Coturnix japonica: one gene and its partners. The protein of the gene in region 1 purifies or fractionates together with the protein of each later gene. This does not show direct contact. Links are inferred from orthologs where the notes say so. Each region holds a gene or a part of one and is shown on either strand. Other genes may lie near its edges.

Region 1 (10,205 bases):
GATAAAAGAGCTAGAGCATCTCTCCTGTGAGGAAAGGTTGAGGGAACTGGGCTTGTTTAGCTTGGAGAAGAGAAGGTTCTGCAGAGACCTCATTGTGGCCATCCAGTATTTGCAGGTAGCATATAAGCAGGAGGGGGAACTGAATTTTTGTGACAAAGTTTTACCACAGTACAAATTAGAGCAGCCCCATGTTTATTTCATATTCTCAGGTGGGTGTCAGAAGCAGTTTGGGGGAGCTGGGAACTAACCTTGCAGATATTTTACACTAGCAGGTCAATTTAAAGTCACCATTTTAGCCCATGTCTGGGCTTAAACTTGACATCAGCATTATCAACCTGAAAAGATGAACTTCACCATCAAATGGGCTTTGGAAAAATTTACATTGAAGTATCGCCTGGGATTGAAATTCTACAATGGAAAAAAAGAGAGAGAGAGAGAACCTGTGTTTGTTTAATGTAAATATTTTAGAAAGCTTAAATGTAGAAGAGTGGCTCCACTATGATCGTAATTTGGCTAGAGCCTAGCTAAGTGCCCTCCCCCCCCCAAAACAAACAAATGAACAAAGCAAGTGGAGCTTCGAGCCTCTACTTAGTGCAACAGAGAGCATAGTTCTCATGTGATCTGTTAGACTGTATTCGAACCAGATAGAAAGCTGGAGACAAAAACATGTGACAAAAGGTAATCATGTTGCTTAATTCATATTGGATGACATGAACATCCTGGAGTGGGAGCACAAAGTAAGGAACTGAAGACAATAGAATTTTATTAGGCTCTTTGACTTAAATCTGTAGCACAGAAGCAATGTTTTTTTATTAAGGTCCAATTTTAAAATGCATTAACTTTTTAATTGAGAGTATAGCTGGCAATCTTCAGTTCTGATGTTCTTGGGAATAATGCTGGATAAGTAAGCCTCCATTTAAGGGAAAAAAAAAACCAAAAACTTTCATCTTTCATTGTATAAGCAAAGATACAGCATCATTTACTTGCTAAAGGGCTGGAATTCTCCCATCAAAATGCATGCAAAGGGAATTTCAAACACCTCAAGGCTCATGAAAATTCTCATCTCTTGGGGGAAGCCAAGAACACAGCTAGGTACTGTGAGGGAGGTGAGCTCTGAAAGCTTCTGGAGATACACTCTAACACACGTGGGAAGGGGGAGAGAAAGCCTTGGGATGGGTTCTCAGGTTGAAATAGCTTTCTTATCATGATGTTGAGCAGCACAAGGTATCAATGTATTCTGCCCTTCTGTGAGGATCCTGTGGGATAGCTTTGGAGAAAACAAGGAGCGTGGAAAGGATCTGAACCAGAAACCACTTGATAGAGTTTTGGATTAGGCCAGTGGACAAAGGGACTCTTCAGCAGCCAGAATATGTTGTTGAAACTTCAGTTTCTAAAAACAAGCCATGACAACTATAAGCTAACAGCTATCTTTCTGGTACCTGATCACTGAGTTAGATTTGTTTTGAAATTGCCAGTGTATTTCAAAGATTTTTGTTGTAAGGTTCTGAGTACAGAGAGGTAATTACCATAACCTCCACTGACTTCAGTGGGGGCTGGGAGGAGAAGAGAAAGACAGACAGACTGTCTGTAAAGTTGAATAATATGAAGATGGTAGCAAAGATAATTCAAAAGGTTATTTGTAAAGGAAAACTCACCGATATCGATGCCTCAGCTGGGAAAAGCTGAGGCAATCTCCACCAGAAAGCAATCTCCAAGAGATGCTGCCTCAGTGGGGGTCAGCCCTTAAATGAGGTCTAGAGGAGGTGGAGTCGAGCTCCACCCCTCCCAGGAGCACAGCTAAATTACTCTCACCTGTGCTCCCACAGCTGACCCGACACTTGCCTCAGCTGATTAATCAGAGGTTCAGGCTGTGATTACCAATTTCTCATACACTGTCAAATCCCATTTCGTTTTTTTAAAGTTAACTGCAAATTTTAATGAGGTTCTCTGAACAAACATTCTGAGGTGCTTCACATTCAAGACTTAGCAATAGTAGACGAGCCCCCAGCTTCCATCATTAAGTTCAGCTGGTAAAGGCCACAGCAACTCTTCATGTTAGAACTTTGTCACCATTTATGTTTGAGGTGAAGAAGCTATAATGGAAACTTTGTGAGCTGCGAAGGACTGAAAACTCCCATTGTAATTTATGACCTTTCATCTGAGGCCAAATGTAAAGGCAATCACAATTGTTCTATATCTCAAGGCTGGCACATAGCAGATGTATGAAGTTTGGAAGTGTTAGACATAAACTTTTATTACCAAATTATAAATAATTTCTACCACTTACAATGTTCACCTTTCAAGTTCATCTTGATTAAAACACACGGGCAGAATGTCACTGATTTCAATGAGTTTTATACAGCTGGAAAAATGCTCTCTGCTTTGTGGAACGATAAAGCAATGCCATATTTTAAAGAATGTACTGATAGCAACGCATGCAAAGTTTTAGACCCAAATCCTTTTTCATCTAGATGACTGAAGCAAAAAGAAGAACCATTAAACAGTGGGTCTCATTTTTTCACACTCGAAGCTTTGAAATCTGCGAGGAGTCTACAGAATGGATTACATAATTCCTTTGAAAACCACCTACCTGAGCACTGGGATTGTGTGACTCAGGAAACAACACATTCTTTAGGTTGTGTATTTACAGTTGTGATTACATTATATAATCTTTGTGAATAAGCAAGAGAGAAATTTTCTTTCCCAATGCAAAACCCACTACACCAACATGCTCAGCAATGTGTCCTATTGCACAGAGGTTCATTTACTCAGTACAGCATGGAAGACTGTTTCAAGGCTTATACAGAAAACCAGGACAAATTTGCTAAGGTGTGGGTTCATGGCTCAGCCTCAAGCCATAGAAGTGGCGAGCTAAGGATACAACGTTGTCCATCTCTATTTCAGTCTTTCGGAATACATATGTTTGTAAATTTAGGACTAAAAAGGAAATTAGAAGGATTTTGTTGACTGGCATCAATGAACCAAGTATCCATAGACAGAAACGATAAAAATAGACAGAAACTATAAAGATAAGTTTAAAACGGACACAGATGAGGTTTTGCAGAGGTCAGGCCACAGCTGGGTGCAGAAGCAGAAAGCTGCTCCCCGTCCTTTGGCAGCAGGTGATCCCATCCAGCTCCTCCCTGCAGCGATAGAGGCGGCGCTACTCAGTGCAGCCACAACCCGCCCCGCTTTAGCGAGCGCGCCCGTCCCGCCGTGTCCCTGCCGCCGCGCCGTACCGCCCGCCGCTGATTGGCCGCGAACGCGGGGCCGGGCGCGCGTAGCAGCGGGTGAGTGTGAGCGGCGTTGTGTCTCGGCCCGGCCGCAATGGGGCACCGGGCGGCGGGGTGCGGGCCGGGCTGTGCCTCGGTGCGGGGAGCGGTGCGGAGGGACCTTTAAGCCCATCCACTTCCAGCCCCCTGCTGTAGGCAGGGACGCCTCCCTCTAAACCGGGTTGTTCGCATCCCCATCCAGCCTGGCCTTCAATGCCTGCAGGGTGGGATGTGCTGCTTATCCATATATCGGCTTTCACATCTATTCCCAGCGTACCGACACAAATCAAGATGAGCCTACGGAAGCAAACTCCCAGTGACTTCCTAAAGCAGATCATTGGAAGGCCTGTTGTTGTAAAGTTAAATTCTGGAGTCGATTATCGAGGTAAGATTCCACCTTGTCTGTGCAGTGAGATGTCCTGCTCCCTTTAGGCTGAGCCTCTCCAATAGCTCAGCCTCTACAATTATTTCTTTATCTCAGTCTTCGTTAAGTTTGGATGCTCTTATCATGCCTCTCCCATGAGGAGACAGGTGTTTTATTCTGGGATGATTTAAACGTTATGATCATGCCAGACATCGCTACTTCAGGTAGGTTTAATTCAGTTGGCTCATCTTAGTGCTCGTTTGTCCTTTGACAAGGAATCTTGGTGTTTGGACACCAGCCCAATGTCATACAGGAGTTATTTTCCTTTCTTTGTTTCCCTCCATTCTCCCTAACTCCCTCCTGGTGCTTACATTTGAGAAATGCACACTTCATTTCTCTACAGAAATTCGATCACTTGTATAAACCAAACATCAGGAAACCCAGCATCTCAGGCTTTTGTTGCAGATCTCTTCAGATTCTGCCTGTAGGCTACCCTTCTCATTTTATGTTTGCACCTCCACCCTCCCAGCCACTGTGAGCACAGCAGCTGCCTGGTTCTCACGTTGGTGTGCAGCTGTAAAATGTCTTGGTTCACTGCCAAGCGCTGTACTCATCTAAGAAGTCCTGGCAAAGTGCACGTGTAATCAGTTGTACAGATGGATATGAATGTAAAAACATTGCTGCATACTGATAAAAAACAGGCAAAATATGAGCCAGGGTGGGCAGCAACAGTATGTGATGCTATTAGTATTCTGGGAGTAAATACAAAGAAAAGAAAGACAACAATGAAAGAAATGAAGATGCACCCTGGCCAGTTGAGTGATAGCTTAAAAAAAAACCCCACAGCCCAACTTCAGCTTGGGGCAAACATTTGTTTTCTGTGGCATCTTGAAGCACTCAGGATTACTGGTGTGAAAATGTTGTCACTGACTTGGCTTGGAAGGTTTTGGTGTATTTAAAACACTTTGTGGCCAGACAGAATTTCCCCATTTATGTGGAAACAGGGATGAAAAACACATACAGGAAAATACCAATCCTCAAGCCATTACAAGTTGGCAAGAAAACTTGAATTCCTAATTATTTAATGGAGGATATTACAGTAACGCTTCTGGAAAATGAGAACATACCCTGGAGGAAGATTCTCAGACTGGAGTTCTCCCCCTCCTCAAATACAGCCAATGTACTGCATGTCTTCAGTTTTAATAGCAGGTAAATTAGATTCTTGTCCATTTTGGTAGTTGTATTTTTAATAGTGGTGTCTGTGTGCAAGGAGGAAGTCAGGAAACACACACAAACAAGATGGAGATGAGCAGCTTGTTAGAAGTTGTTTTATGTATGCAATTAGCAAATTGCATTGTGTACGTATTGCATTTTCTGAGCAGTTCTTCACATCCGTTAATCCCCACATTTAGTTCACTATGTAAATGTTCTGTTTGTACATCACTTAAATTTGGCTGAAGATTTCAGTGTCATATGAAAACCCTTTCCCCGTTGAAGATGTAGAATTGATTTACACAGAAATCACGCTGGCAGCCCATGTTATTCTGTCTATAAGAATGAAAATCACAGAATCACAGAATTGTAGGGGTTGGAAGGGACCTGTAGAGATCATCGAGTCCAACCCCCTGCCAAAGCAGGCTCCCTACACCACGTCACACAGGTAGGCGTCCAGGCGGGTCTTGAATATCTCCAGAGAAGGAGACTCCACAAGCTCCGTGGGCAGCCTGTTCCAGTGCTCTGTCACCCTCACCGTAAACAAATTCTTGTGCACATCCGTGCAGAACTTCCTGTGCTCCAGTTTCTGGAAAATAAATCAGAAAAATGTGCGTGGTGTCCTGTATTAGAAGGGTTATTTCTCACATATATCCTTGATGAGCTTTGGTCAAAACTCAGCTTGTAGCCTTGTTCTTAGGCTGCCCAGTTACACTTTATGTCACAGGTTCTTCTCAGGAGTTGGGCATAAAACAAAAGTAAAAAGCAACAACTAAACTTTCAGAATGGAAGATGTTCTCTTTCAAAGTCACGTCTCAGTGAGTTCTCCCCACCCAGTCATGTACAGGACCTGGAGTTCCCTACTCTCAGTTTAGTTCCTTTAATGCTCTCTGGGCTGCTGACTGACTCACCTGACCACATTTGGAAGTTTAGTTTGCTATGAAGATACAATTTTTTTCCTTGTACTGTTCAAATGCAAAGCCGTTTTGTTTAGTTCAGAAATAAGCTAAAGTTGATTCACTTTTAAACTATCACTCTCTTTAGGTGTCCTGGCTTGCCTGGATGGCTATATGAATATAGCTCTGGAACAGACAGAAGAATACGTAAATGGACAGTTAAAGAACAAGTATGGGGATGCATTTATCCGAGGAAATAATGGTAACTCCTCCTTCTTGTGCTGTATGTACTTTTTACAGCGCTTCTTTTCAGTGCCTGTGCTTTTCCTCAGACCTGGATGAGTTCTGTTCATTAGTAAAGGGGGCTGTTTATTATTAAAGATTCTACTAGAGGTTAAGAAAAATTACTTGCACTTCATTATTGAGCCTTGGAACATCCCGGTGCAGTAGGTGGATTGTAGTACACTTTAAGGACAATTAGCATCCTTCCCCAACACAAGAGAAACTTGCTTTAAACCATGGGCTGATGCTGTGCTATCAGCTAGTTAGGCTATAGTAGTGGGACATGCTAGGGAGAAGAATATCTAAGCATGGAAAAGGTTCACAGGTCAGATGTGAGGAGACTTGGAGAGAAGGTAAATGAAGCAGAGTCTGACAAAGTTACTAGGAAAGAGGGAACAGAAAGAAACAAGATCTGAACCCCACGTTATGTGTGTTGTTTTGTTTAGGAAAGAAACAGTCCTTGAATGAGGTCAAATTATTGTTTTTTTATAAGGAGTTTAGCTTGTTACAGTAAGGTTACATTGCAGCCAGACAATCAATTCTAGGAATAAGAATTTGTTAGGAAAGTTAAAAACAAATGGATGAGAGGCAGGAAAATAAAGTATAGGCTAAAGAACTTAAGACATTCCCTGTTTAGGAGCGTGATGTGATTTCATCACTTGGGCATTCAAAATACAGCCTGCACAGTTCCACTCCAAGGCAAAGGTGTTCCTACAAAGTGCATGGGAAGCACCGCATTACATGATGTTCTGGCAGCAGCAGCCAAGTAGGTGAAAGATGTCTGCTGGTTCATAGGTGCTTGTTAGCATTGCAGGAAGTGCTTGGGATTTCCATCTTTTGTTGAAAGATCATAACGTGGCTGTCCAACACCCTTAATTCTGCTGCTTAAAAGATTCTATCATGCTCTCCTTGTTAATGCTGCAGGGTAGCTAGGCTTATTCTCCCTCCGTGCAGTCTGCATCACCTGGAGCGTACCATTTGACTGTGAATTTAATACTGAGTCAAGTTAGTACATAAATCTGATAGCATTTCTTGGAGCCTGGACTTGAAAGTTCTTGACTTTGCTCATGCTGAACGGGATTAATTACACTCATTTTTAAAAGCCACAGAAGTAGTAAGTATTAAATAAACAGGCTTTGCACATTACTTACTGAAACTCTCATAGCTGTTCTGCTTTCTTCTTTTCACAGTATTGTACATAAGCACACAGAAGAGAAGGATGTGAAGATGCCAGAAGGAGGCTCTTCTGTATTTGTGAATCTCTCCAAATGGATGAGACCTATTTCATTTGTAGTTAATGGTTCACAGGTGACATATTTGAGTGCTTATTTTTTAAAAAATAAATGTAAACCAATGTAACCTTTCTGGATATTTTTGTTTGAAAATATTGTTTTGTTCCTCTGAACAGAAATAAAAATGAAGCATGCAGCAGTGTCACAAGACTAATTCAAAGCACCAGCTCATTTGGTTACACTAGCAGTCACGACAGTACTAATCCATAGGTAAGCAAGTGTAGAACTGCAAATTACAAGTCATGGCAAAAGAAGGGTTTAAGTGATGCTGGGAAGGGAGAAGCATTTGGTGACAACGACCTGTTCCTTTCAGAAAACACAGTCAGTTTCAAATGCCAAACTGCGGTTAAGAGTCACTGGGTAAAAAAGTCAGCTGCTGACTGGTAAATTACCCCAAACATCTTGAATTGTGGGATTGAAATCAGGGATGTGACGGTGACACTTCAGCAGTTAGGGGTGGGGACCGAAATGGAAGAAAAGCCCTAAGGGGTAGCACTGCCCCGCTGTGGAAGTCAGTCACCAGTGAAAAGCTCTCAGCTGGTGCCCCAGCACAGCCAGCAGCCGCATCACCTCCTACCTCTGTTCCCCGCCCCTGCTTGCAGTACCTTTGCTTTTACAACTCTACCACACACAAAGGATTTCTTCAGTAAAAAACAACTTTAATATCTAAAGCTACTCTTTAAAACAGACTGGAAGTCTCAAAGCTTTTACAAACGTATCCTCTTCAAACTGCTCACTCCTACTCTCCCATCCACTTATCCCCAACCTAGTACCATCCATATTTGCTCATTTCTAGCCAGAGAAGTGTAATAATATATTGAACTCATAGCATGGGGTATGTGTCAGGGGAAGAGAAATCTCTGGTAGGCAGTGAAGTTGGATCTTGTTTGTTTACATTCTGCTACAACGCTCCCAGTTAATCAAAGACCAGCGAGTAAACCCAGCTCAGTTTTAGATGGATACTTGCATCAATTTATAAAATAGCTTCTCATTTTATTTGCAGTCAGCCAAGAACTAAACCGTGGATGTTCGGGTTGTCTGATGTTATTGCACATAACGTACTGATCTTTCACAACATTTTCTTGTTCCTCAAGACAAGGATAAAGTTTAGGGTACTGCGCCTTGTGGTAAGGTTTTTGTTTTTAATGAGTTTTCTGAAGCCCTGCTTTATTCTTTGAGCCATCAATATTACATTTGTGAATAAGGGAAAAAAAGTTCTTCTGGCTGTGGATGGACAAACAAGACAACAACTTCTTCCCAAGTACCAGCAGCTCCAGTGCAAGTAGAGAACAGTAACATTTCGGTTTTCTATGGGAGACAGTGTGGATTGCTTTTTTTTTTTTTTTTTTTTTTTTCCTTGTGAATAAAGATTAGGGAATAATTCCAAATTATTTTGCAATTAACAGTTAACCTTTCAACATGAAACACTTCAGAAGTCACTACAGAACACACAAATAGAGATGTTACTTTATAATATCCTTCAGTAATTTATCATTCTTTGACAAGGGCTTGAAAAAGGTCCAGAATGCAAGTACAAATCCACTTGCTGTTTTGTAAGGGACTCTTTCAAAAAGAAAGCTGTGCCTCCAAGTAGAGTGTGCAGCTTCTCATTTATTTTGTCATTTATATACAGCTGGCAGGTTTCTGTGTTCTTCCAGTCAGGGACTTCTTTGTTTTTAATTCTAAGGTTTATTTTTCATTTCTCTTCCTCCTCCACCTACCCAGCTATAACAACAAATTCAACATAGCCTTTGCTTCATTCTCGAGCGTTTGCATCTCTAACTTTATAACTGCATTTCTATTTCTACAAGGCTGGTTATGGAACAACATCCAGTTGTGATCTGCTAATTTAAGAGGCAGAGCATGGTCTAATCACATATTAAACACGAACTTAGATAATATTGTTTAGTTTAAAATGCTGAGATTTTTGTTAATGTATTCCAGATCACGAGGTCACTATTTGCTATGCGAGGTAGGTAAGACAATTTGCATTAAAGAAGAGCTGTTGCAATCTGTATTCAAGTTTCAAAAGTAACTAAAATTATATGTTTAATTCCCACAACCATTGACCTCCACATACATTTTGCAAGACTTTTGCCCTTAATGCAGTCTTCAGCCCATATGTTGAAGTCAACTCAACATTTAAGCCTTACTTTCACAGGCATTCCAATGTTTGGATGTTGTTTGAGTTGGACACAACATCCATTTACTTATTTAGAACCTGTTTTAACTTACTGTGTTGCATATGACAACATACCAGTTAGAAATAAATCAGACACCGGATAGTCTGCTTTCAGAGCAGTATATTGAATGCTGTTCAAAGTCTAATGTACTCCATCCCATCACCAATGTGTATGAACATCAAAGTGTGTATTTCACTAACTCTTGATGCTTAGAAATCACTCAACCAAATTTATAGGATCCTTATCCCATGGGGAGAATGGCTACTGACGGCAGCATCATACATTTTTCACTCTCTTACAGTGTAAACGTATCTTCACACAAACACAGTATCAGATGCTAACGCTTATGTCCTTCATTTACTTATTTTACCGTGTCCTAATGCTCTCTGCCCAGTAGCTGTGAAAAGCTTTTACCTGTAAATCAAGCTCATCTAGGTCAGGACTGAAAGCGAAGTTTATAAATGCTGGTCCATAACAGCAACCACTTTTTTAGAAGAATGCATCCACAATTAAACAATTAAAAGTTAACAAACAAATAAATTGAATTTCCAAGGACACTGGTTTGTGTATGTACATAGTGTCTTAATGCAATGAGATCACTTAAAGAAACTATGGCCATCCAGTCACCGCCCCTTTCCACGCTCTCAGCTCACAGGAAGAGCAGAAACTCCAAAACGCCTCATAGGAATCCAACTCAAAAAGCA
Region 2 (9,558 bases), on another chromosome or scaffold:
CATCCAGGAGAGGCCACAGGATTGTCTCCATATTGCATGCTAAAGTATTCCCTGTTGGAATAGCAGCAGAAAGCTTCCCCACTACTTGTGTATTTTAATACAGATGACTGTAAATAAGTTTGTATATCTCAGCAAAGAAAGCCCCCACCCTTTACAGCAGGTACCAGCAAACATTCTATGGGCCCCTGCAGCAGTAAGAACTATTTCTTGCATTAACAAAGTGAGGATGACTGTCCTATGGCCATAAGAACCGAAACACAGCAGTACCAGGCAGGGCTGGGGGAAAACACAGAACAAAGACAGCAGGGAGAGGCTGCAGGATGGGCCGGAGCTGCATGGCTGGTGGAGAACAAACAGGCATTGAGCAGAGTGCTCCATGATGGGGCGGAAGGGGAGGCAGAGCAGTATTTAGTTGTGTTAATCAGCCGTGAAAATGCCGTGCCAAAGCATGCCAAAGCCTATTCTGAGTTCATGTCCTCAGGTGCAACGGCAGCACCAATGGCCCCATATGGAGTTTGGGATGGCAGGGTGGTGTTTGGCAATGAGAAGCAGAGGGTGGTGGTGAGCTGTGTGCTCCAAGGGGGTGTTTTTACCTCCAGCTCCTCGCTGAAGCTCTCTGAATAGGGGACGTATTTATTGTCCTTGTCCCCTTTATAAAACCAGGTGCAGCGTCGCACCTCGGACACCTCCTCCTCCCAGAACACCGCCAGGCACTGCCTCTGCTTCAGGTGCACGTCGTACCTCCCACCTGATGTCGGGACGACCACATCTGCTTTATCCTTCCCTGGGGAAGCAGAATGAATCGTGTGAGGGGCCCAAAAGGTGAATTACCAGGATGCTGAACCACATAGAGGAGACTGCAGCAGCAACCAGCAGTGCTGTCTGTATGCACAGAGACCTGAGCTGGAGAGATGCCTGAAGCCAGACATCCCCAGTGGCAGCAGGTGAGAGGGAAGCACTGAGCTGCAAGCACTGAGCTGCAAGCAGTCCCCTCCCTTCTAGCTTAGGGCACGGCCTTCCAGGGGCTCTCCCTGCTTGCATTGAGGTGGCAGTGTGTGAAATCACTGCCCTGGGACCCTGCATTGGTGCAGATCTCCACCTTCAAAGCGTTCCCATCCAGAACAGAGAGCTCTGCTCACATCCCAGCACAGCCCCCACTGCCTGTGCTGTCATTATGAAGCACAGCAGTGTCCCCTCAGACAGATCTGCCCTCCTGCTCAGGCTTCTGTCCCCCCTATAAAGGTGCTTTCCAACATGATGTATAATATAATATACAGCATGTGCCATATTAACAAGGCCAGACCTTATACTACCTCCTCCATCCTCACTGTCCATGCACTTACAGCTCCAGCACTGCCACCAAACACAAGCCTCAATTACAGCTTCCAAAGGGGGGAATGTTGCAACCCAAGCAGGAGCTGTGGGCTTTCCCTTTGCTGCTTGCAGCATGCATCACCACCCTGCTTCCCTTGGGCACACGCCTGATGCTTCCATTGACCTCACCAGGCCGGTTCCCCATCACACACGCAGGGGATGAGGTGTTTAAAAGACCTTTAAAGGCCATTGAAGCACAGCGCTGACGGGCTGAAGGCGCAGCACCATCCCGTATCCGATCGCATTGGCCGCACGCAGGGTGTGATGGAAGCAGTTCGGACCGATCTCCTACCTGCACTATGAGCCTCTTCCAGCCTCTCCGAGTCCTGAACGCTGAACGGCAGCCACCGCTCCCTCCCGCCGGTCACCTTGCAATAAAACCAATGCGGAACGACCGCTTCGTACCCATTCCCCGCGTCCAACTCCGCAGCTTCGTGGGCAGCCCGGCTGGGCAGCGCCGGCTGCTGCTCCGGGTTAGACATGATGCTCCTGGATAAAGGACAACGACGGTCGGACCCGCGGATCTCTACGCACAGTGCAGAGCACAGAGAGGCCGCGCTCCGCTCCCCGCAGCGCCCTCGCGTCCCTCCGAGCCCACGGACGGAGACATCGCCGCCCGTCGGTGGCCGCTCACGTACGTAGGACGGTTCCGCTGCTCCCCGGCCCGAGGGGCGGCACAGCGGGGCGGCACAGCGCTGCTCCCCGGCTCCGCTCCCGACCCGGCTCCGTTCCCCGCCCCCGGTGCTGCCTCCGCTCTTTGCTGCGCCTGCTCGGGGCGGGGGGGGCCGGCCGTGGATCGGGGCGGTCCATCCCATCCCATCCCATCACCATCACGCGAGTCGATTCCGCGGCCGTTTCACCCCAGCGGGGACCGCACCCGCTCGGCATTGCGGGGTCGGCGCTAATTAAAGGCCGGCGTTCATTAATTACAGCTTTACTCCGGCCTTAAGCCGGATGTGCTGCCGCGGTTCGGGGCGGTGGTTCCCCGGTGCCCGGTGATACCGCCGCCCCCGTCGTGCTATTGAGCAGCCTTTCATCACCCCCCCCTTTGCCCACCCTCACCCTTCCCTTCCCATAGCGGGGGCTCAGCGCCGGATTCTATTACAAAGCAATGCGTTACCTGGATGGATTTAGCACCAAAACACCCCAAAAAGCCTCCCCCCCCCCTCCTTCTTGCCCCTCTCTCCCTCTCCATGCTGTGCCGGCACACTCAGCTCTTCTTCCAAGCAGATACACCAAATATCGTTCCTACCACATCGCTGTTAATGGAAACCTTTGCCCCGGCCCCACGGAACGCTGCAGTTTGATTGCAGCTCTTCTGCTCTGCCCGCCTGCATTGCGGTGTCACCGCTCGGAGATAAGCGGGGCTGCTCTCCACGTGGCTGCCTGCACGGGTAGGACCGACCAGCCCCTTTATCAGGCAGCTGACAGCGCAGGGGGGCGAGCATCAGAGCAAAGAGCAGGCAGGGGATGGGGTGGGTTCATTCCCAATGCTGCCTTTGCTGCTGAAACAAGGGTAAGAAAACCTTCCTGCCTTCACATCCCTGGATGCAGGGACTGCCCATGGAAGCAGCAGAATCAGCATCAGCCCTGCGTGGCATTTGGAGCTGCCCAGGTGATGCTCATACAACAAGCAGGGGATGCTGCAGGGCTGACTGCAGCCATCTCACATCTGCTCCCCTTGGCTGAAGCGTGGCTCCCATGCAAGAGCAAATTGCAGACCTCGTTGAGATCCTTCCTAAAGGGAATGCGAAGCTTTGTGCCAACAGTGTCTGATAGAAAACAAGTGTTGTAACAGAGGAAGAAATGGGCTTTGGTAATTAATTCCAGCTCCTTCCCACCCCCAGGGATGCCTCAGTGTTCTGACTGCTGCATGTGATCTCACACACATCCAAAGAGCTGCAAAGGTCAATCCATGCATGTACTCCATGCCCTGAGGGTGGCAGCCAATAGTAAATCCCTTCCAAAGCACGGCCAACAATCCTGCAGTGGGGCTGCAGCACTCACAGCCTGCACTGCCCCCCAGCAGCACCCAATGGGGGGCTGCATGTGTCCATATACCACACTCACCTCTAAGCTCCACCTGCTGCTACAGCCCAGCTGGGCTCTGCTATAAGCTCAGCAACCTGGACACAACATCCCCTTAAAAAGAAGAAGAAGAGACTTAAGGATTTAATTACAAAACAACATTTAAAAGTCATCAGGGTTTATTATGATCTCATTACACGCAGCAATGATTCGCTTTGCATGTCGTAACCAGGTTCACCCAGTAGGCGTTACAATTAAAAAGTGGATTTGACCCACGCGACCTGAAAAAGCATTTTCTGCACCTCCCACTGTCCAGGGCTGCACGGCTCTGCCTGCAACTGGCTTTTCCAGGTGAAAAACTCAGAGTTCCAGGCTATGTTCCCACATCCACACGGCATCACAGAACAGCTTCACATCAGCAGAGCTACAGGGAGCGCATTGGAAACAAAAAGAGAACCCCGGGATGACACAAACCAGCTTTTGTGGGTAAGGGATCTGAAGCTGAAAGCACACGCACTGATGGACCTTCATTTATGGTGATGCATGTGACAAGTGCTGCAGCTGTGGCTCCACGAGGTACCATGGATTTGGGTGGATTTGGACCCGGTTTGGGGAACTTTGTGCAGTGATTTTCTTCTTGCTGGATGAAGGACACAGACAACCCAGTGCTAAACACCTTCAGGTGGTGCTGCTTCTTCACATCCCAGAGCAAACAACTCAATTTGCTGCTTTCATCTTCTCTTCATTGGTCCAATGCTGAGCTGTTGGTCGGGGCTGGGCTTTCCTGTGGGTTTAGGGTTGTTTCTTCTTTTCAATCAAGTCTTATTGCTTTCTCATTATCAGTAGTGCTTAGCAGAAAGAGCTGAGATTTGGATTAACTCTTTGGAACCTCCACAACAGGCTGCATTGTGGCTGATTTGCTTTCACAATCCTTTCCTTTCCAGTTTTTCCAGTATGGCCTGAATTCTATGGACAGCTTCTTTCCTGGCCTGTCGGACACCATCCTGCCCACCAGTCTCAATGGAATCCAGTTCTAACAGCAGCTTGGTCAGCATCTCCTCCAGAAGCCTGTAGGATTTATCTGTCTTTTTCCCTACAAATTCATCCACCTCTTGTTCTAACTCTTCAGCCTGCTCTGTGACCTGTAGGATCCTCTGTATCTCTGGCTGGATGGCTGCAGAATTCATTGCAGTGTGATTGCCAGCTTTGCAACCTGCCTCCTGGTTCCCAGCCAGCTGCCTCCGAGTTGCACTGTTGTACATCTGGGGCTGTGCACTGTATTGTACCTTGGGGTTGGAGGGAGATGACTTGGAGTTATGCAGCAGGGAGGGTGGTTTGTGGTCATTCATTGTCCCAGGGTGCTGGTGATTGCTGTCAGAATAGTAGCAGTGTTGGTTTGCACTCGGATCAGGTTTGTCATAAGCAGATTCCTACAATCAGAAGGGGAAAAAAAAGAGTCTACATTACAGAGGCATTAAATGAGATCTGCTCCACTTCAAGACCCGCCTCTCAGGGTCTGCTATCTCCAGTGCTTTCTTCAATGGCAGTTTGGATATATAAGCAGGTGATTTTGCTGGCAGTACTTAGAACCGCTGCTTTGTTTTTGTCTCCTGGAAGCAAACTGTGCTTGGAGAAAGGAGCACTGAGCAGCTGCATGTGTGTATTGCGGGGGAAGGCAGCATGAGCTGAGCTCTGGCTACAGCCAGAATCTTTGTGTCAGAGCCATTAAAGCATCACTGTACCTTCGAGTCCCACACAGGAGGATGAGCTGCAGTCCTGCTGCCAGTCCAGGGTGGTTGTGATTCAGAGAGGAATGGATTCCCATGTGCTGGAGCTGCAGGCCATGCATACCGTGCCTGCACCCCATAGTGAGGGGGAGCCCACGCCTCCTCCTGAGCCCTGGGCTGTGGGTTGGCCCCGGGGCTGTGGTCTCCATATGGATACTGAGGAACGGGCATCCCTGGGGTCTGTGGGGAGAGGGGGACAGATGTAAGTCCTAAGTCAGCTCCCAATGCCTGTGGCAGAAGGAAGCTCTGGGATGAGCCCCAGCACTGGGATGAGCCCCAGCACTGGGACTGCTGCTGCTTTCTGCTCCAAAGCTCGTGACCTCAGAGCTCCCAGCAGAAAGGGGCAACTCCAAGTTCTTACAAGAGCAAGCAGGGCGAGCTGGGTGGGACATAGAAGCCATTTGGGCCCAATTAGGGTGCACTGTGGGTTCACCCTCTATGGGGTGAGCAGCACAGGAGCTCTCGCTTTGCTGTGCACACCCTAAATGGTTTCTTACCTGCGGTGGGGAATACCCAGCAGCCTTTTGCCTGCGCATTGAGCATCCCTCTGCTGGGCAGTCCTGTGTGCCACAGCCCCAGGGAGGGGCAGGAGGGGGGGGTCGATATGGGGCTGAGCTGTCGGTGCTGTAGGATGGACCTGAAGTGCTGTAGGTTCGTGTTTGTGGCAGTGAGGTGTAATGGGGAGGGTATGGGGCGCTGTAGGATCCGTTGGTGTAGGGTGAGTCCATAGCCTGGGGAGGAGAAAAGGGAAAAAGAGAAAGAAAATGAGCTGAAATGTGTGTTAGGATATTTAATGGGTTATTTCTGTACTGAGCTGTAGGAAACAAGTGGGGCTTGAAGCCCATTGTATCCTATGGCATAGAAATGAAGCACAGCTCGGTCAAAGCCTTAATGGACGGGAGGGGGATGGAAATGGACCCTCATCCCCCAAACCCAACATACCGAGTCCGCTCCGTCGGTGTAGGCCCCAAAACCGAACGCTGGGCTCCAATAACCGGGGTTGAAGCCGGGGCCTGGTGGCTCCTATAAGGAAAAACCCCATTATATGGAGCAGTGATAACGGGATAACGGGCTGTGCTCGGTTCCCCCCCCCCCTTTACCTGCCCGGTACGACCGCGGTGCTCCATGTTTTCAACCCGGCACGCTGTAGCCCACCCCACAGCGCGACACAAGGATAAAAGGCCCCCACCATGCGACCAATAGGATGCGAGGACCCCTGGATGTAACCAATGAAAGGCAGCCCCGCTCGCACTACCGGCGCCGCTTTTAAAGGGACAGTGCATCGCTAAGTACCGCCCAACGTGGGGCGGTTCCGCCACCATGAACTACATGCCGGGTACTGCAAGCCTCATCCAGGACATTGACAGTGAGTGTGACCGAGGTTCTATTCATTCAATAAGGAACCAAGGGGAAAACCGGGACCCGGACGCGGGGGACCCCGGTTTTCCCCTTGGTTCCCATTGGGACCGATGTTCCGTACCCCCGCTTGATCCCTTTCCCCATAGAGAAACACCTGGTTCTGCTGCGGGACGGCCGGACGCTGATCGGATTCCTACGCAGCATCGATCAGTTCGGTACGGATATAATGGGGGGGGATAGGGGGGGCAGCACCGGGAACGACACCGGATCAGGGCTTAATAGAACCCATATGGCTCCGATAGGAACCCAGTTTGTGGTTCCCCCATCCCTTGTCATGTTGGACCCCCACCCCATGTTATATTCCCCCCTTAGGGCAGCACTAAGTTCATCCCCCCATTGACTTGTGCCTATGGCTGAGCCCCCCAGTCTTTACCTCCCTTTACCCCTCTTCTCCCTACCCCCCTTTCCCCCCTTCCCCATTCACTTGTGCCTATAGCTGAGCCCCTCATTCTTTACCCTATAGCACCAGGGATCCCTTTATCAGCTATAGGTAGTGGCTGCTTTGGGGTCCTATAGTGGCTGGGTTTGGGGGATCATGTTGTTTAGGGGATGCTCAGCATATAGGATTATAGTGCTATAATGCAATCCAGCTGCTCCCTATGCTTTAGGCTATGGGTTGTTTCAGGTGAGGTGCTCTGTTTGGTGAAAAACTGGGTGGTTTTGGTAAAAAACTGGTTAAAAACGGGGTGTTTTTTTCTCTATCCCCACAGCCAACCTGGTGCTGCATCAGACAGTGGAGCGAATTCACGTGGGCAAGAAATATGGGGACATCCCTCGAGGGATCTTCGTTGTGAGAGGGGAGAACGTGGTGCTGCTGGGGGAGATTGTGAGTGAGCCCCGTGCCCTGCAGCCCCTCACCCTGCAGCTCTGCTTAACAACAGCTCTTTGCTTTGCAGGACCTGGAGAAGGAGAGCGACACGTTGCTGCAGCAGGTTTCCATCGAGGAGATCCTGGAGGAGCAAAGGTTGGAGCTGCAAGCCAAGCAGGAGTCGGAGAAGCTGAAGGTGCAGGCGTTGAAGGAGAGAGGCCTGGCGGTGCCCAGGGCTGACACGTTGGATGAGTACTGATGGGATGGCAATGCTGAGTGGTGCAGGCACTGAAATCATGGCTTCTGTTCCCCCTTGAGGGGAAAAAAGGAGTGATGGCAATGGGGAACCCTCGGAGGTAACTGGATGCTCCGGGGGGTGCAGCAATTTCTGTTCAGAGATGAAGGTCTCTGTTCCTTTTTGGTTTGTTTCTTTTGGCTCCTCGCCTGGAGCTGAGTGAGAGCTTCCCTTCACCTGTAAATAAACCCCTGATCTCAACAGCAACAGCTTGGCTTGTGTTTGGGCTCTGTGTGGTTATGGGCACAATGGGACTCTCCATGACCTCAGGTGCTGGGCCCAGTTCAGCTCTGTTCACTCAGGTGCAGCTGTTTGCCCCCTAATTAGTTAATTACCTGCTGAGTTGATGGAGCATCACATGTGTGAGGCAGGTAGGTAGGAACTGAGTGGGTTGAGCTGAACTGGGTGCTGCAGACTTCAGCACTTGTAGGTAAGGCAGGAAAAAGCAGAGTTTGGGGTCTTTCATTACCATGTGTTCTCTGATATTATGGGGCTCCTATTGGTGTCAGTTCCTGCCTTACAGCCTGGGCAGTGCCTGTGTTATCTTATTGCCTGCCCCCTGTTGTGTGTGTGTGTGTGTGGGGGGGGGGCTGTGTGTTTATCTCTGCTCTCCAAATAGCATCAAAGCAGCCTTGGGGCAGTGGGGGAGGCTGGGGGGCACCCTGAGGTCCCTGCACATGGAGGGGACATGGATTCAGCCCCCCCTGCTGTGGCCTCTCCTGGGCTCAGGGCACTGTGAGCAATAGCAGTGCATTGGGAGGGCTGAATGTCAAAGGGGATGTGAGGTCCCTGGGTGAGTAAGGAGGGTGTGCAGTGAGGCTGGTAGGGCTGGGACCCCCCCTTTCTTGCAGTCCCTGGGCATGGTGGTGGTGTGGGACACCTGAGGAGGTGCTGATGTGACGCTGTGGAACCAATGAGGGACACCTCAGTTTTATAGGTGTCCTGAAGTTCTGCTGTGTCCCTGGAACTGGGGCGCCCTGGAGCTGAAGGGGTGGTTCTGTCAGGGATCAGTTCAGTTCTTCTCACAAACAAGTGCATGTCCTTGCTCCGAGGCCGTGTGTTTTGGGGCAGCTGCTCCATTGGCATAACAGCATTGCAGAGCTGGAGATCTCTGTGCTGGGAAGAGCCGTGTCTGTGCTGCTGTATTACCAAGGCAGCAATTTGAGTTGCTCAGCTGCTGTTTTCCTGCAGTCTCTTCAAACCCCATCCCATTGCATGTGAGATGTGCTGTGCTGCACTTGGTCTGACTGGAGAGGATCCATCCTGCAGGTATGGGCAGGAGCAGTGCAGCCATTCCTGGGCACAGGTAGAGCTGAGCACCACAGGGCTGTGCTGCAGCTCCCCATGCACCCTCTGCACCTCAATGAGTGGATGACCTCCCCCCCTTCCAAGCTTTTGCGACAGCAAAGAGGAGCAAGGTCAGCATCCCCGCAGCAGAGAGCAGGAGCTGACGTCAAAGGAAGCAGCTGTGATTCACAGCTTTTGGGGCTCGCTCGGTGCTGGGGCTGTAACTCATCCCACAGATGTCATTTCAGCCTTGAGCCTTATCGCTGCTATTGCTCCACCCCTGGGGAGATGTGGGGGTGCCCCCTCAGTGCAGCAGTGTGGGACCCCTGCAGCCCTGCCCACAGCTAAAGCTTTATGCAAGCGGTCCACGAGATGCTCTCAGCCTCATAATGTGCACGAAGCATCCACGTGCAGCAGCAGAGGGGGACAGCAGAGTTTGCACCACGTCTCTGGGCAGCAGCAGCTGCATAAGGATGTGCGCATGTGCTGCTGCTGACACCCACGGTGACCCACAGCCCCCAGCAGATGCATGGGGAGATGGGGCCGCCCTTGGCCCCTGG
Region 3 (10,364 bases), on another chromosome or scaffold:
TACAGGACATGAAAAATAGAAGTCTTCTAAACAAAGCATGCTTCAAACAGCTCAACTGACTCAGTAGGTCCTGCACAACATTCCAAACTTGAACTTGGCCTCTACATTTCAGCAGCTCTGTCACTTTTAGTGCTGGGAACTACATTTCAGCTTTTGATTTAATTCTTAATTTTAAAGGAATGTATAAGTAACAACATACCAGTGCCTCCTCGTATGGTTTACACTTCTCCAATTGCTGTAGAGCCTTTTTGTAGCTCTTTATTGTTGTTTCTGGTATTGGATCTTCGGACCATTCCTCATACTCAGCATATGATGTGTCCATATCTGTTAAAAAAGACACGAAATCGCATCACTAATGCACTCAACAGACTAAATAATTGGAATTCAATCTCTGCTTGATTCTAACGTGGTCACGTTTCTGTTTATAGTTTTATTCCTTAACTGTCAGACTACCATATGACTAAATGATTCAGCTTATAGGTGTAATTTGAACAAAAACTTAGGACAAGTTGCTCATAATCATTAGCTTTTCCTTTACAAAACCAAAGTTGCAAGATTTTCTCAGGGCTTTAAAGAAGAAACCAACCTAGATGCTTTCAATGGAAAAATAAGGAAGTTTAAGACCTTTTTCCTGTATGCAGATAAAGAAGCAAGAAAAGGGACTTGAGGAGTTTGAAGTATGAAACTGATACAGCAGGACTATCAATCCAGCTGTCAGCATGTATCATTTACCTATCAGCCAATGCTCGTACACAGTGAGCTTCTCAGCTGAATTCCTAGCTCCTAAGGGTCATGCTTTGTGCTAATTACTTGTACTTTAAACAGCCTGAATGACCTCAAACTATGCAGCATGGAAACAGATAAACAAAGTTTCAATGACTACGAATATTTCCGAACAAACGGGAAATGTGCATCATTCAAGGGGCCCCAAAGGCAGGCAAATGTAATTGATCCATGAATACTCAAATCCAACAGCTGCAATTTGTGTGGCTCTACCAAAAGAATAATCACAATTCATGCCTACTTTGCCATAATACAGTTTATCCACGCCAACTCCCCCAAGCACGCAGGCTCTCACCTAACAGTGGGATCCCCAGCTGGCGCCTGAACAGCGTGTGGATCCTTTCAAGCTGGCTGCAGAGCATCTGCTGCTGCTCAGGCGACGGAACGCTGCCAGGAGCTGGCTGCAAACAAAAGGATTGAAATTTAATCAGCCCCCTCAAGCCTGAGTTGATGGACACAAGGGGGTATTGTTTACGGGTTGGTGATCTGGGCTCCAAACCACTACTACATGATCCTTGAAGAACACACATGGCCAACTTGTATTTCACGTGGCTGCTGCTAAAGCTAAAACCTGGAAACTGCTAGTCAGAAGCTGACGAAAGTACAAAGCATCCCCCAGTGAAAGCAGACACTGGGAAATGATAACCTGGAGAACAGTGTGTGATCATTCCAATTCACAAACCTACAGATAGGTTTTCAATAAATCCTTGATGCTTGCAGAGATGCTTTAAAACTCAATTCTTTTCTTTTTACAAGCAGAAGAGCATTCCCCCATTACTCCTCTGCATGGGCATTTCAATACTGACCAACTTTCACGTCTTATGTAGCAAGCTACAAGGAAACAGAAATATTGACATTCTAGTCATCTCGCAAAGTCTGATGTTTCAAAAAGGGTGAAACAGTGAATAAATTCAACACTGAGGCATAAGGCAGCCTAGAAACGCAAACATCACTGATTATGGGCAAAAGTATTCACTAGAATGAATAATAATGCTTAATAATGAAGCTACTTATTCTTGTCAGTACAAGCTAAAGAAGTAGAGTAGTTTTGCTTCTGGTTGTGAGGTTTTATGAACATATTTTAACACACCTCCACTCTTACAGAACACAGAACATTTTTCTCAGTCCAAACAGTCAGTCTCTACAGCTGAAAAGAAACAACTGAGTGACACCACAGCCTCATTTCTCCAAGGAGACTGATAAGCAGCATAAGGTGACTTCGGAAGCTCCACCACAGCCTCTAACTGACAGCAGCCCATCAGACCAGCCTTACCTGTGCTGTCTCCAGGATGGCATTCTCAAACTCACGGTACGCTTCCCACAGAGCTGTTCCTTTTGTCACGTGCAGCCCAACCGCTGTCAATGCTCTCTCAAATATTGAGCGAACTTTCTCAATTCCTCCTTCCTGACCAATGCCACCGATTGAATACTGGGCATATTCCAGCCAAATTTCAGGACCTAAACAAAGTTATGAGAAACAGGAGAGCTGATGTCCTCGAAAATACAAAGGCATCTCAAATACTTATCCAAAGGCATAGAAATTGTCTTTACTATTCAGTATAATAGACCTTTAAATGTTTTTTTAACTCCCACACATTAAGAACTTACAGATGTAATCCTTCACGGCTCTCTCAAACAGCTCATAAACTTTCTCTCGCTCTGAGATCTCAGAAGCCATTTTTATCTCATCCTTCAACCAGTCCAGCCAGATTTCTGAAACCAAGAAGTTTACAGTCACCAACGCTTGGAAAAAAACTTTTCCCTTTACATTTTTGGTTATTTTTTAATAACAGGCTTAAAAATGGGGATAGAGAAAATGGGGAGAAAAAGAGCAATTTTAAGTCCCCGCATCTACACACAATTAGTTTAAATGAAAAGTTTGGTACTGATGTCTCCAACCTAGTCCTAAGCAAGTATGCTTCTATTTAAAGAGAGATGAAGCTGTGAGCAGCAATTGGTCAGCACCATGCACAGAGAATGCACATAGGCCAGCAAAGAGGCATTGAGTGGCACAGTTTCCTTCTTTTTTACAAGAAACAGCAGATGGCTTTAGAGGCTGCAGGTTCCCACATGCCTAAGAGGAAACCTTCACTTGCCAAAGCTAAAAGCCCACTGCCAGGTATTTATATTGTTACAGTGTTAACTATAAATAAAAAGAAAGGCCTGCTTCAAGTTGAGTTCAGAGCTTCAATCTGATCCTTTAGGCTGGAACAGCATGGCTGAAACCTGGCACAAAGAGTATTTCACACTGATGATGCTTCATCAGTATTACCAGCTGCAAGGAGAAGCAGCTCTGTACCTTCAGTAAGTGGGAAGAGTTCACTCATCTTCTGCCGAGCTCTTCTGAGCTTCACCAGCTCTCCCTCTTGGCGGAGCAGCTTTATCAGATCCAAGTGGCAATTGTAGTCAAAAGCATTGATGGAAAGCTTTAAAGAAAATAAAGGAAGTTTTTAAAGGCTTGCAGAAGTCAGCAAATACTCAGCAGAACAGAACTTTACACACTGTTTTCTATGTGTCACATCCCTGCAGTTCTTGAACACCTCCAGGGATGGTGATCCCACCACCTCCCTGGACAGCTTGTCTCAATTCCTGACTGCTCTTTTGAAGAAGCAGTCATTCCCAATACTCAACAAGAACCTCCCCTGGTATAACTTAAGGCCTTTGCCTCTTGTCCCATCGCTGTTATATGGGAGAAGAGAGCAACTCCCACCCTGCTACAACCTCTTTTCAGGGAGTAGTGGAGAACCATCCTACAATTCTGTGATCCCCAGCTCCCTCAACCTCTCCCCATATAGCTCGTACTCCAAACCCTTTACAGCTCTGCTGCCCTACTCCAGACATGCTCCAGGGCCTTGATGCCTTTCTTCTGTAGTGAGTAAATTAAACGCAGCACTTAAGATGCCTTGCCTTCACCAGGGCCAAGTACAGACAGACATTCACCTCCCTGCTCAGTTACACAGAATCACAGAACTGTAAGTGACAGGAAAAGGCAAAGTCCTCTGAGGATCCCTCAGTCCAACCCTCCCCCCAGCAGGTAGCATTAGAAAGCATCCCAGTGGATCCTGAGCATCTCTAAAGAAAGAAACTCCACCACCTCCCTGGGCAGCTTGTGTCAGGGCTCTGTCAACTTCACAGCGAAGAAGTTATTTCTCACGTTCAGATAGAACTTCCTGGGTTCCAGTTTGTGCCCACTGCCCCTTATCGTGTAGCTGGGCATGGCTGAAAAGAACCTGGCCCCATCTTCACGATTTCTACCCTGACAAGTGCTGCTCCCTCAGCCTTCCCTCCTGCCTCAAGGGCAGCCTCAGGGCTCCTCAAATAGAAGCTGCAGGCCCCGACCACCTCTGCAGCCCTTCATAGAAGATCCCTGTTACTAAAGCTGGGCTTTAAAGTTCTGCAGAAGACTGAACTCACAGCCCTAAGGCCCGAGAGCCCCCAAGTACAGACACAGCGCTAACACCCAGTGAGCCCTCCTCAGCAAACGCGTTTTAATTCCTTCAAGATCACTAAGGAAACCACCATCTGAGTTCACTTTCAACATACCAGGGCTGCTCCCTGAGTCTCTCTCGCCCTGAAGCGAGGAATAAAAAGCGAATTAAAAGGCATCACGCCCGGAGGCGTTTCCAGATCTCCATAACCAAAGCACGGTACAGCCGGGCCCCACCTGCTCCTCCAGCCGCTGGATCTCCGCCTCGTTCTCCTTCTCCTCATCCTCGCCGTCTCCTGATGAATCCGAGTCGCCTTCATCCTCCGAATCCCCCCCCGACTCGGGGTCTCCCTCCACCACACGCTTCTCCTCCTCCACCGCCGCCTCGGCTCCCGCCGCCGCCATCTTGTTGCAGCTCGCCTCGCTGCCGGCCGCTCTCAGCCAGCCGATGGGGTTGGCTACTGCGCGCCTGTCTCAATATTGTACATTCCCCCCAGCCAAAAGCGGTGAAAGAAAGGACGATAAACTCTCCCGACAAGGTTCTGCTCTTCTCCGCGTCCAACTGCCACGAAAAGCCGAGCAGCTCGGCCCGTTACTCCTTATAATTTAGTCTGCTGCAGAGGCAGCGCCACGGACACCTCAGGGCCTCGGCCTCCAGGGGTCCTTCGGGAGGGTTGGGGCAGAGCGCCGCTGCCAGGTGCGGGCAGACTCAAGATGGCGGCGCTGAGGGCGGCGGGGGCGGCGCTGCTGCGGCCCGGGCGGGGGGCGACGGCGGTGGGGGGGGCGGGCTACCACAAGAAGGTGAGAGGGGCCGGGTAGGGCTGTGGGGAGCCCATAGTGCCCGTTGGGGGTTGTTAGTGACACGTTGTTCTCGCAGGTGGTGGATCACTACGAGAACCCGCGGAACGTGGGCTCTCTCGATCGCAACGCAAAGAACGTGGGTACGGGCCTGGTGGGAGCCCCGGCCTGTGGAGACGTTATGAAGCTGCAGGTGAGGGGAGCACGGGGTGCCCTGTAAGGACACAACCATCAGTGTCTGCCACCATATGGCTGTGACATAGGATTCCTCCGTCACACCCCCTTTAAGCCCCTCTGCAGGCCCTAAAATCCAATAGACCCCCAGCCTTAAACTCGCTGTCCCTTTACGCCCCTCTGCAGATCCTAAAATCCAATAGACCCCCAGCCTTAAACTCATTGTCCCTTAAAGTCCCTCTGCAGGCCCTAAAATCCGATAAACCCCCAGCCTTAAACTCGCTGTCCTATCGCTGTCCCTTTGTGTGTGGTTCCTACGTGGAACTGAGCGCCCCTCTGATAACTCCCACAGGTGGAAGTGGATGAGAACGGCCGCATTGTTGATGCTCGCTTCAAAACCTTCGGTTGTGGTTCTGCCATCGCTTCCAGCTCCTTGGCAACAGAGTGGGTGAAAGGGAAGACGGTAAGGGCTTGGCTTAAGGGGCACAGTGGGGAGCAGGTACATATTCACACCCACTGCTGGGATCAGGGAAGGAAACAGGGGTCTAGAGAGGTGCTCTCCAGGTGTTACACTCACATAGAAGCTCAGAATGCAGTTTCATCTTTCCTGACTTTTAAAGCAATATTTGCCTTTTCTGGAAGTCTCCAATAAGCTGTGAAGAAGCTTTGGGTGCTACACAGCAATCGAAAATAGATAAAGAAAGCACTTGTATAGTGGAATGTCTTCCATTGGCTGATCTCCGTGTGCTTGGCATTGTGACAAGCAGGTTGTTTCTATATTACAGCAGAACAAACCTGGAACAGTCCCTGCAGTTGGTCAGCAGTAAAATAATGCTCTGGTTTATTAACAAGCACTGCACACTTTGAGACATTCCTTATATTTCATAGAATCAGGGGTTGAAATGGACCTCTGAGTATCACCTAGTCCAGCTCCTCTGCCAAAGGAGGTTCCCTGTAGTAGGTTGCAGATTTGTTGCTTGGCAGGAGCAGAATAAAACAGGTATTATTGAAAGGCCTTTCTTATGGTAGAACACTATCAGCAGCTTTTACTGCCTTCTCAGAGCGTGACTTTGGTTGGTTCCAGTGCTTTGAAGCACACCTGTATCAAATACCTGCGTGGTGTGTGGGCATCATATGTACATGTGTATGCCTGACTGATGACTGTACCCTACCCATACATTTCAGATTGATGAAGCATTGAAAATCAAGAACACAGACATTGCAAAAGAACTTTGCCTTCCTCCGGTCAAACTGCATTGCTCTAGTAAGTAAAGCATCAAACACGTTGTTATTTGAGAACACAGATGCTTTTGTACGTTCTCCAAATAAAGCTTTGCACACATAGCAGCTAAGGCTGACCCACAGTGGTGGTTATTGCTGGCTGCTTCTGCTTGTACTGCATCTTTTGTTCTAAGTGACTTGTCACTGTTATTTAAAGTGCTTGTAAATGACATTGTTTTGTGCTCTTTTTCTCCCCTAGTGCTGGCTGAGGATGCAATCAAGGCTGCCTTGGCTGACTACAAACTGAAACAGGATCCAAAGAAAGGAGAGTCAGAGCAGAAAGCAGACTAATTCCTAAACAGACTGTAGAGGTTGTCCTCATTCCAGTTCAATTTGCAGTGCAATTATTCTAGCTGTTAATAGAATCCTGTGCACTACTCAAGAAGCTGTAAGATACGCACAACTCAACGCACAACGTGTCACTGGTCATGTGTGTACAGCCACCCTGGTAGTGCTTAAATGACTGGAACGTGGGTATTTCAGCAGCCTGTGTCCTGTCAGGATTGGTTTTGAAATGGTGAGAGTGAAGGGCTGCTCTGCTTCAGGGCAACCCCCCGGTAGCTTCTCAAGAGAGAAAGAATCCTCCTGTTCCAGCATTGGAAGGGCTGCACTTTTTTTCTTCTGTATAGTTTTGCCTAATGTTTTACAAAGAGTTTGGTGGGAAACTTGGTTGCCTTGGTCTTTATGTGGGTCACTTTGTCAATCAATACAGTATATATAAATCTCATGTGGTTTGGCTGCAGCTGTGTTGGAGTTTGGTTTCACAATCTGTGACCTCTCACATGCTGTCTATCCCCTGCGTCACGCTGCTCTCTGGGAGGAGCTGGGATGCTTCACCAGGCACTAGAGGGCACTGACTGTGGGAGGTGAGCAAATAACAGCAGCTGCAGTTGGTTGCCAGGAAGCTCAGAGCCAGCAGCGTTAGCAGGACATGTTTGTGTTCACATCCTCCAATAGCAGGAGGGTTAATGTTGGAGCATCTTTTAAAAGCATTCAACCCTTTAGTTTGCCAAATACTGTTAAGGGAGATTAAACACACGCTGAGGATTCAAACCCAGAATGCAAATAGCTTAACTGGGATGTAATACTGAGGGGAACCTCCCTGGAAGAGCAGGAGTCAGCCTGTGCCCTCTGGGGGTGTCTTCTGAACTTCCCCCATCCCTTCCAGGGCAGAGAGAGCAGCCAGTGCTCTTGGTACTAAGCCAGGGGCAGAAGGGGATCCTTACCTGCTGCTGGAGCTGATTTTGGATGCTATTTCTGATAGCTTCTGTTGTTGCCTTTGGTAGTTTTAGGGCTGGATTCTCTTCATTTGTGGAAAGAAACCTCAAAAACACAGCCTGGCAGATACCTCCCCCGAGCAGCTCTGTGTGCACAGCTAAAGCTGCTCAAACTGCTTCGCTGGAGGAGTGAGTTATGAAGAGAGCACAGGGGTAGCACTCACCAAGTGGAGGATTTGCCCACCCACCACATGAGCTGGGCTCCTTGGGAGCGTGGGGCACAGAGTCAGTTCAAAACAGGCGTTTTATGGCCACACAGCATGGCTTACCCTCTGTTCTTTAGACCACTGTGCTCCCCTGTGCCTCACAGCGATGGCTGTTTTCCAAGGGAGTGTTGCCACAGATCTTCAAATCAAAAGAAAATGCACTTAAAAACCTCCCTTGCTCTTATAACATCCTCACCCCACGCCCCACCCTATCTTCCTTTCCAGTTTTCATACCTATGATGTTGCACAGCTGCATTAAAAACAACATTCAGTAAAAATAAGTGGCTCGTTCTGGTTTCTGTCTGCAATGTAATTATTTTTTGAGTTATTATTTTAAGTTGTTGTCACTCCTGTTTGGGGGAATCCTTTGGTTTCCCTGCAAAATGCTGTCAGCTGGAGTAATGGGGATATATTAAAAGCATAGAGCGACATTGGTAAAAGGATGTGAGGTGTAAGGATAGATGACAGCAGATACAGTTGCTTTAAACCCAAGAAAGGTAGTGGTCACAATCCAGTAATAAAGAAAGAATTGCTCACCCCATTTCCAAGGATCAGGGCTCATCAAATGTGACAAAGGAGCCAATCTCCAGGTAGAGATGCTTCCTTTGTGGCTGCCAGCCCTTAAATGAGGTTAAGGAGGGGTGGACCCAGGTGAATTGCTTCCACCTGTGCTCCCAGGGCTGACTACACCCCTTCACCAGCTGCTCAATGATTCAGCCCATGGCCTAACAACTCCCATACATGAGGATACAGGGTTGTGCTGCCTTCCAGGTACATCAGACACTTGCCTTCTATTAGCACGCCCTGCTGCAGGACAAAGCACGTGTCTGAGTTCTCAAAGCAAACCAGTGTGAGATCAGGAAACAAACCTGTGTGCATCTCCCCAAAGAGGATCTCAGGCCAGAGCCCTCCCCACTCACAGTGCTGGCTGACACCAGATAAGGGTTTCTGAGAATTGCATGCAGATTGTGCAAGTGATAACAGTGTCCCCTGGCTCTGAGAGCGTCACCAGCAGCAAGCACACAGCTGTAGGGAGCATTACTCCCCTGCCCATCCTCATGTCCTCAAGCTCTGCCAGGGAAGGATGGCACTGAGCCCACGGTTTGCCTACCCTGACAGCTCCAGAAACACACATGAGAGGAAGAAATGTGCATAGTAGATGTTTTTATTCATAGCAAAGGGGGTTAAGAAAATAAGGCAAAAGTCCAGCTCCTTTCTGAGATCCATTTGCTGTGCTTTCTGAGGGGTCTGTGACATTCAGGGCTTGCAAACAAAAGGACGGGGTCATTGTTGCTGCATCCTCTTCCCTCCTGCTAAGGTTGGCTAAGGTTTTCCCTTTCTTTTTCTCACCAAAACACATCTAGAATGCCTCCAATCTCCACCAGGCACTGCAGGGTTGGGGGTTGGAAAAGGAGGATGGGAGCAGCTGACCCCCTCATCAATCCAAGGGGTCTGCAATGTCCCCGGGCCCCCATAGAAGGTCTGTACTACCAGCAGTCATGAAGTCATGGGTCATGTTTCCTCCATGCCCTATTGCCTGGGTGTGGGCCAGGTTGCAATAATGAGTGAAAATAACATCTGCGAGAAAGCTGTGCAAGGACGGTGGGGAGACCCAGCCTGGGCTTTTCTCTTTATTTTTGGGGGGAATCCAAGGAAAGCACCCATGGAGAAAGCACAAGCAATGGGTTTGGCTGCACTGAGCACCGCATCAGCCCAAAGCGCGGCTCAAAAATGGCCTCCCATGGCTGCATGGGGTCGGGGGGAGGCATAGGAGGGGGAGTGGGGCTTCATCGGGGCTTCCTTGAGCCTCCACGTTCGGGTGGGTGGTGAGCAGGGCAGCCAGGAGCCCGGCTCTGAGTCCATGGTTGGCATTAAGTGCTGGGAGAGCCATCTTGGGCCTCCTTGCCCTCTGCGCTTGTTGCCTCCGGTCCCACTCCTTCAGCATCTTGATTCTGGGGAGGGGGCTCAGCGGGGTGCTTGCTGACTTCTTCCTCCCTGCCCTCATGCTCTCCCTGGGCACCGGCCCCATTGGCCAACGGTGCTTTACTGGGAGATTTGAGGTTCTGGGCTGCAGCCAATATATCAGCCTGCAGCTGTCGGCCAGAGTCCAGGGGCTCCTCAGCATCAGGGTCCGGAGCCTTGTCAGGCACCTCGCTGAAATCCCGAGGCCCTCCGGTCTTGTCCCTTTGGTCCACGTACTTCTTTTTGGGGAAGGAGGACGGGTAGTAGGCTGAAGCTTTGTGCTTCTGCCGCACGATGACGGCGGCGCAGATGATGAAGAGCAAGACGAAGGCCAACGAGCCCACAACCACCACCAGCAGCATGTACTCCTTGAAGAAAGCCACCAACCCATCCAAGACATTGCCCGGCGCAGAGCTGTTGGTGACGGCTGTCCCCGCTGCATCCCCTATAGTGGGG

The links.
Region 2: the proteins of LSM6 (region 1) and LSM1 purify together in Homo sapiens (co-immunoprecipitation; 3 studies listed by BioGRID and IntAct, counting the BioPlex papers as one, with this or other methods). This does not show direct contact. The link is inferred for Coturnix japonica from reciprocal best matches to the Homo sapiens genes LSM6 and LSM1.
Region 3: the proteins of LSM6 (region 1) and SART3 purify together in Homo sapiens (affinity purification with mass spectrometry; 4 studies listed by BioGRID and IntAct, counting the BioPlex papers as one, with this or other methods). This does not show direct contact. The link is inferred for Coturnix japonica from reciprocal best matches to the Homo sapiens genes LSM6 and SART3.

What each region holds. Positions count from the first base shown.
Region 1 is NC_029519.1:27,570,539-27,580,743, forward strand, and holds LSM6 (U6 snRNA-associated Sm-like protein LSm6), read left to right. Parts: upstream 1-3,296; 5' UTR 3,297-3,485; coding exon 3,486-3,657; intron 3,658-5,892; coding exon 5,893-6,006; intron 6,007-7,216; coding exon 7,217-7,251; 3' UTR 7,252-7,395; downstream 7,396-10,205. UniProt on the Homo sapiens protein: Plays a role in pre-mRNA splicing as component of the U4/U6-U5 tri-snRNP complex that is involved in spliceosome assembly, and as component of the precatalytic spliceosome (spliceosome B complex).
Region 2 is NC_029537.1:3,643,796-3,653,353, reverse strand, and holds LSM1 (U6 snRNA-associated Sm-like protein LSm1), read left to right. Parts: upstream 1-6,509; coding exon 6,510-6,555; intron 6,556-6,694; coding exon 6,695-6,763; intron 6,764-7,318; coding exon 7,319-7,434; intron 7,435-7,504; coding exon 7,505-7,675; 3' UTR 7,676-7,920; downstream 7,921-9,558. Other genes in the region: phospholipase DDHD2, read right to left, coding at 594-784, 1,667-1,863, 2,013-2,194; BAG4 (BAG family molecular chaperone regulator 4), read right to left, coding at 4,326-4,832, 5,145-5,369, 5,687-5,920, 6,132-6,212, 6,290-6,511. UniProt on the Homo sapiens protein: Plays a role in the degradation of histone mRNAs, the only eukaryotic mRNAs that are not polyadenylated. Probably also part of an LSm subunits-containing complex involved in the general process of mRNA degradation.
Region 3 is NC_029530.1:5,664,897-5,675,260, forward strand, and holds the start of SART3 (squamous cell carcinoma antigen recognized by T-cells 3), read right to left. Parts: upstream 4,871-10,364; 5' UTR 4,616-4,870; coding exon 4,448-4,615; intron 3,210-4,447; coding exon 3,083-3,209; intron 2,497-3,082; coding exon 2,392-2,496; intron 2,242-2,391; coding exon 2,057-2,241; intron 1,185-2,056; coding exon 1,079-1,184; intron 325-1,078; coding exon 200-324; intron 1-199. Other genes in the region: ISCU (iron-sulfur cluster assembly enzyme ISCU, mitochondrial), read left to right, coding at 4,925-5,011, 5,088-5,201, 5,535-5,645, 6,368-6,446, 6,663-6,754; TMEM119 (transmembrane protein 119), read right to left, coding at 9,818-10,364. UniProt on the Homo sapiens protein: U6 snRNP-binding protein that functions as a recycling factor of the splicing machinery. Promotes the initial reassembly of U4 and U6 snRNPs following their ejection from the spliceosome during its maturation.